Linked DNA regions of Mytilus edulis. The main gene of each other region encodes a partner of the protein of the gene in region 2 in a complex. Links are inferred from orthologs where the notes say so. Each region holds a gene or a part of one and is shown on either strand. Other genes may lie near its edges.

Region 1 (3,764 bases), on a different chromosome or scaffold from region 2:
ATTTTCTTTGTTTATGTTATAACAATTTGGCCTCTGAATATTCCTCTATTTCTGATATACCGGGTAGTATAAATATAATAACAGTTTGGTCTGATAACTTTATCCATGGCATTCTCTTACTTATGATTTTATCTGTGACAAAGTTATAAAAGTTTAATTCACATGGCCCTTTGGAATTAATTCAGTTGTATCCATTTTCAACCATTAAGAATTCAAGATTTATCTTTTACCAATACCTTCGACTGTTTTCTGCTCTTTGGTCAGATTGTAGTCTCTTAGACTCATTACCGATTTCTATTCCCAATTTCATTATCGATATAGTTACTAAAATTTAGTCTTTTACAAATATCTTTAACATGGATATATATGGTATCACTATGTATGGTATTTTAAGTTCATCTCTAATTCTTATCTTGAATATGGTAATTTATCTTTTATATGGATGATCCTTAAAGTTGGTTATGGCAATTTTATGTATTATCTCTTACTAATATCTTAATCTTGGATATGGTAGTTTAACTTTAATTTCTTACTAGTTCCTTTAGTATCTGTGACACAGTAATGCTGGTATTTCCACCTTTGATAAACATGGATGATTTTGTATTTTCTGTAATCTTGCCATCTCTGTTCTCTAAAAATCTTCTTCCTTTTTGTGTTTTAGGCTTTCTGTATTAAAAAAACATATATGTACAAATGTAGTGCATTTAAGTAACTGCTAGTAGTCCTTTATTAACTGGTGTATTATTATCATTTCCCTTAGTTTCTTCTGTTACCATGGTTACCTATTCTGAAATTGGACTCAGATTTCTATAATGCTGAGTTTTACTCGGCATATTGCTGTGTACTTGTTTATTCTGCCTTTGCTAGAAGTAAAGTGGGAGGGTTCAGATCTCACAGTGGGAGGGTTGAGATCTCACAAAACGTGTTTAACCCTGCCACATATTAGTTCATTTATCATGTTTATATGTTTCAGAGTTCAGTGTCTACTGAAGTGTAACTGAACTAGTACAAATTTTTGTTTAGGGGCCAGCTGAAGCCCAACTACAGTTGTTGGATTCAAGACCCATTTTTGGCCATGGGCTCTTTTCTGCTTTTTGGTTGGGTTGTTGTCTCTTTGATACATTCCCCATAAAAAAGTTTCCATTCTAAATTTTATACTGCCTGAGGTAGCAATACACAGTTAGAAATTTAGTTTCGCATTATGGCCCCTGTGAATTTTTTAAATATGAAAGTTTTTGTACAATAAAATTGATTTTTAGATAATTGAAGAATAATATAGCCTTCTTAGTGGGTTTATATGAACATTTAGATTGTTTTTAACATGTTTTATAGGCCATTTATATGATTGACAGTCCGTATTTTCCTATCCGTACCGTCCATAGGTCCATAAATTATTGTAGTGTTTATCAACAAAGATTTTGCGCTCGATCTTTTCAATTCAATTTTATGGAAAAACGAGCAGAAATGCATATGATTTTTTTGGACCACTTGATAGATATAAACCTATGGATTCAGGAAAGGTATCACTGTAATTGATTGAAATTTTCCTTTAGACCAAATTTTGGAGACTTTTGTGACATGTTCACCCCCCCCCCCCCCTTTTCTGCTATATTTTGTATCTAAGAAATGCAGATTGTTGCCATGGTTACACCCAAAAGGGATTATATTTTACCCTTATGACCATTAGAAATCAAATCTATGGAAGATTCTCTTTCTATAACTATATACATGCATAACACACATATAAAGCCTTCTTTGTTAGACAGGAGGGGAAAGAGGGTGTTTAAAAATTATGAGTGTCAATTTTAAGTTTTTTTCCTAACTGTGTATTGCTACCTGAAACCTAATTAATTCTTCAGGTGACCGCATTAGACCTGATTAGTTCAGTCTGTTTAAAATCATGATTGCTGGTATAACCAGCTTTGTTATAAAGTGAAATAAAATTAGCTTGTGACCTTAGATTTCGTGTGTGTTTTGTCAAGAATGATCTAAAACAAGGTCAAATATGGTTAGGTAGAGGGTGTGGATGTTGGGAACTGTATTCATATTATTAGTTCAATGTTATTGTAGCAACAGAGCAATGTGACTAGCTTGATAATTAAAATTGTACATAGTTTTAATCACAAATTTAAAATTTTCATAGCAGTTTAATTACATTTCGTTTAAATTGGTAATGGGGTAAAAAAAAAATGTAAATAGTCCACTTAAGGGAACAATATCATGAATATGTAATCATCTGATGGAATAATTGTATACTGAAAGAAGAAGAAGAGCTGTACAAATTGGAATTTTTCTTCTTTCTTTTACAGATCTTTACATGTTGTAGAGATAAATGACAAGGTTTTTCCAAATGTGTTCATTTTTTTTACACTGATAATAATATTTCATAACCTACACTACTCTTTGCATGACCATTTTTTCTGTGTCTGTTTCTTGTTTACAAATTTTCCACGTGTGAATCTAATGTTAGACACAACTTCGGTAAGACGTGCAAAACAAATTCCGGATTAGACTAGACTTAAGTAAATCGGGCTCAAAAATAATATTTAAACAAATACATTTATTATTTTGATAGAAAAATAATGAAAGAAATGTGATTTAAACAGTATGTTAATATCTGATAAAAATTTGAAAAAAATATATAAAAAATATATAAAGATCGTTGTTGTTTATTCTTTTATCGGTCATTTTCGGTTTTTGTTTTAAAATAAAAGTTGTCTCCCATATTTTTGTCAAGTACGTCACAAATTTATGAGCACAAAGAGCACATGTTGTCCAAGGCAACCAAGAAGCTTTACTGAACAATTTAGTTAAATTACCGTATTTTAATTGTTTACATACCAAACAGACTTTATCAGTGATAAAATAATCGTAAGTTTAAGTGTCTATAGAACATTTGCATTGATAAATTTTATGAAAGATAATAAATTGGTTGTAAAAGTACAGTAAAGATGTTTTGCACATCAATAATTTGTCAATTATATTCCCATTCATGTTCACAACTGTCAATATTATATGATGTTACATTGTTGGTCCTCTGTTATTTTAGGGCTCCCTTTACTTAAGGGTTGGGGAATTTTTACTTTAGGTTCTATAGCTATATTTTTGGGTCAGGGACTGTGTAAGCTTAGTAATGGTTAGGTATACGTAATGTCATTAAAATGATTAAACAGGGTACTTACGAATCCGGGTCCGTCCGCCCAGATTCTGGTTCACCCTAGTTTCTGTTCGCCCTAATACTTGTTCGCCCCGAGTCCGTTCGCCCTGATTTTATTTTTTAGTATATAGTGTTGCGTTGTGTGTACATGTATATAATTGAATGTGTTGAAGTCAGTCTACAATTTGGCCGAATATTTACGATGTGACATGTTGTTTATAGCTAGCTGCTACTAGGACTAGGTTTTAAGTTTCTGTACATTCACTATTGAATTGAATTACTATTAGCTGGGAACAGTATATCTAACGTTAATATATATGTTTCTGCTATTAGCAAGGATTTGTATAGTTAGACTATTTTATTTGAGAAAAATGTTATTTTCATTATTAATCCATCAAAGACAATTCATATAGCAATCAGTGATATCAAAGATTTCAAATGATACCTTATCAGCAATCAAAATTCAAAACAGTAATTAAAAGTAATTATAAAATAAAGTGTAACGAATGCAGCCAAGAATTTTATTTAATTAATATAAATTTGGCAAATATTCTGTATTTAACTTTTAATAGATCTACATGTACATAAATTTCAATAGATATACATG
Region 2 (3,764 bases):
ATGTTATGGTAAATTATTTATAATTCTTCGAACTTTTCATCATGTATATTATAATTATCATGATTAAATAACCAGTAAATTTTATATTTTTGTACATAAAATTTTGCAGCAAAAACGCTAAAAAAAATTTCGTCGGGGGGCTTTTCCCCTCTGAACCCCCTATCAGGGCTCTGCCCTGGACCTGCTGGGGGCCTTAAGCGGCCCCAGACCCTCTGCTGATTAGTGCCTACAGTTGAATGAATACCTAGCTACGCCCCTGATAGACATTGTTATAAGTGAGGAGTCCCGCTAGTATAGAAAGTTCCTGGACAAACTGTGCTTTGCCTTTGGTCAGTATGGACTCCCAAGCTTGGGTAAGACAGTATTGTTATTTGGTGCTATTTACACCTAGCCTGTGCAGTGGATTGTCATGGATGAATTTATAGCCGAATACACAAGCTAACATCCTAAACGAACAATTTAAAAAGGCTTTTACTACCGAAGATACATCCTCTATGCCAAATAAAGGTACAAGTCCCCACCCCACTATGCCAGACATATTTATTAGTAATAATGGCTTATTAAAGTTACTTAAAAACTTAAATCCACATAAAGCCACTGGCCCTGATAATCTGCCAGCATATTTTTTACATAATTTTGCAGAAGAATTGTCTCCATTTTTGACATTCTTTTTCCAAAAATCTATTGATACTGGTAAAATCCCAAATGATTGGAAGCAGGCTAATGTTGTACCTATATTTAAAAAAGGTGACAAGCATAACGCTATTAATTATAGACCAGTTTCATTAACTGCAATATGTTGCAAAATTTTAGAACATATTTTAACAAGCAACATAAGGAAACACCTTACAACTAATAACATATTAAATGATAGTCAGCATGGGTTTAGAAGCAAAAGGTCTTGTGAGACCCAACTTATCATCAGCATACAAGATCTTGCTAAATCATTGGGATATGGTAACCAAATAGATGTCATACTTTTAGATTTTTCCAAAGCTTTCGATAAAGTCCCCCATAAAAGATTAGCCCAGAAATTAGAATTTTATGGTATTAGAAATCAAAATTTAAATTGGATAAATGACTTTTTAGCTGACAGGCAACAGCAAGTACTACTAAACGGTGTAAAATCTTCAAAATTAGCAGTTGATTCTGGTGTCCCTCAGGGAACAGTTTTAGGCCCAACATTATTTTTACTCTTTATAAATGACCTACCCGAACATGTAACTTGCAATGCAAGACTTTTTGCAGATGACTGTTTATTATATAGAAATGTAAATAATAGTTCTGATGCACAATTACTTCAAAAAGATTTGTCTAGTTTAGTAAAATGGGAAGAGGATTGGCAAATGAATTTTAATCCTGAGAAGTGTTATGTAATTCATATTTCTAAAAAAGTAAACCTTCCACTTTTGATTATATATTACATAATCATATTTTAGAAGCAGTAAAAGACAGTAAATATTTAGGCGTAACTATAAGCCATGATCTTGATTGGGGAACGCATATTAACAATATTACTTGTAAGGCAAATAAAACCTTAGGTTTTCTTCGTAGGAACTTAAAAAACTGCACACGTAAGGTTAAGAACCTTACGTACACATCACTTGTCCGTCCGGTCGTCGAATACTCTTCCCCTGTCTGGGATCCGTACAAAAAACAACACATCACTCAGGTTGAGCAGGTACAGCGTAAGGCAGCCAGGTTTGTCTTCAATGATTATAAAGACAGATCACCTGGAGCAGTTTCAAATTTAATAAAATCATTGGAATGGGAAAATTTAGAATTAAGAAGGAAAAAGGCTAGATTAACTATGCTGTATAAAATAAATTGGGGGTTAGTAGAAGTTCCTAAGGACAACTTAACAATTTCTGATAGACGCACTAGGGGGAAACATAAATTTAGGCAAATATCCACAAATAAAGATTTCTATAAATTTTCATTTTATCCTCGCACTATTTCGGACTGGAACTCACTACCTGAAGCAATAGGTATGTCTGACACCCTGGAATCCTTCAAAAGTGGCATATCCACTCTAACACTTGAAGGATCCACAGCAACTTATTAAACTTTAAAGCCACTGTACATAATGTATATATGTTATTGATAACGATTTTTCTTTGTCATATTATTTTTAAATTAAGTCCATATGTACATAGCACACAAGTTCCGGGAAGTTTTACACTCCTACCTAGGAGTCTACTCCCGTATTCGGAAGAAGAAGAAGAAGAAGAAGAAGAAGAAGAAGAAGAAGAAGAAGAAGAAGAAGAAGAAGAAGAAGAAGAAGAAGAAGAAGAAGAAGAAGAAGAAGAAGAAGAAGAAGAAGAAGAAGAAGAAGAAGAAGAAGAAGAAGAAGAAGAAGAAGAAGAAGAAGAAGAAGAAGAAGAAGAAGAAGAAGAAGAAGAAGAAGAAGAAGAAGAAGAAGAAGAAGAAGAAGAAGAAGAAGAAGAAGAAGAAGAAGAAGAAGAAGAAGAAGAAGAAGAAGAAGAAGAAGAAGAAGAAGAAGAAGAAGAAGAAGAAGAAGAAGAAGAAGATTGAAGAAGAAGAAGAAGAAGAAGAAGAAGAAGATTGAGAAGAAGATTGAAGAAGAAGAAGAAGAAGAAGAAGAAGAAGATTGAGTGAGTTTGAGAACATATAAAAATTATGTTAAACCTGTTCAATAATCGGTTGGAGAGAAAAGTTTGTTGTTGACGTTTCTTCAAATTCAATCTCAGTTTCAAAGTCTTTGACACTTGGAAGACCAGTTGGCTGTTGCTGCTTTGCTTTAAACTTCTTTTGTTTTGATTTTCCCATTGCATATTACTTTCATTTTGACATAAAAACCCTAAAATTAAATGATAACTTAACGAAATACAATTTTTTAGCGATTTGCATGTGGCCTGGAGAACTGGTTTTCGGTTACAAAATTCCAGTTCACTTCCGGTTGATATAAAAATAAAATATTGGATGTAAAAACACGAAATAATTCCGGAATTAAGTTAGAACATGTAAAAACAAACATGCAAAACTCAATACTACCTAATGATTTCAACGGTTGATTAGCCAAGCTATCTACATGCCGTATGCCACTTTTTGACACTCGATCTGTTTCAGTATTTGATTATATGCTTCAAGTTGACTCTGACGTCCAACGGCTGTTTTGCCAGACAAGCTGGGGCCGTGGGACGTCAGAGCTCGACCCATATCAAAAAGTGGATATTTGCCCGTCCAAAATAGATGCACTGCTTCGTCGCTTCTGGTGCCAACGGACGGCCTTGGATTTATATAAATCGGGTATCAAATTGTTCATTTTTCATTTATATTTCAAGTGAATATAAATTGAACGAATACATTTGATCTATGACACAATGTAAATACAAAATTAATAAAATAAGGGATGAGATAATACTCGGCCGCAATTTCCGAAAGCCAGTCAACCATTGCCTTGAACAAATTGCCTCCAAATAGAATCGGATGTACACAGGTAAATGAAAAAAATGTATACAGCTCCGAGAATTAAACAGTCGGAAACCAGGTTGAAATAGAACAAAAGAACCGAAGCTCTTTGTTAGAGAAGGCGATAAATGTTTACTGTATTATTTACTATAGTGACAATTTTTTTTAAAGTTAATAGAAACAAACAAAATTGCACTTGACCCATATATTTCATCTTTTAGTACTGTGATTTTTTTGTGTTATAAAGTCAATATTTCATCTTTTAGTACTGTGATTTTTTTGTGTTATAAAGTCAACTACTTTATAACACAAAAAAATCACAGTACTAAAAG

Evidence for each region. Proteins that work in one complex are often made in the same cells at the same time.
Region 1: HEAT repeat-containing protein 3-like (region 2) and ribosome production factor 2 homolog share a complex: the UniProt entries of both Homo sapiens proteins name them as parts of the hexameric 5S RNP precursor complex. The link is inferred for Mytilus edulis from reciprocal best matches to the Homo sapiens genes HEATR3 and RPF2.

What each region holds. Positions count from the first base shown.
Region 1 is NC_092353.1:397,778-401,541, forward strand, and holds the start of ribosome production factor 2 homolog, read right to left. Parts: upstream 2,484-3,764; 5' UTR 2,416-2,483; coding exon 2,396-2,415; intron 667-2,395; coding exon 534-666; intron 1-533. UniProt on the Homo sapiens protein: Involved in ribosomal large subunit assembly. May regulate the localization of the 5S RNP/5S ribonucleoprotein particle to the nucleolus.
Region 2 is NC_092348.1:29,740,623-29,744,386, forward strand, and holds the start of HEAT repeat-containing protein 3-like, read right to left. Parts: upstream 2,928-3,764; 5' UTR 2,791-2,927; coding exon 2,650-2,790; intron 1-2,649. UniProt on the Homo sapiens protein: Plays a role in ribosome biogenesis and in nuclear import of the 60S ribosomal protein L5/large ribosomal subunit protein uL18 (RPL5). Required for proper erythrocyte maturation.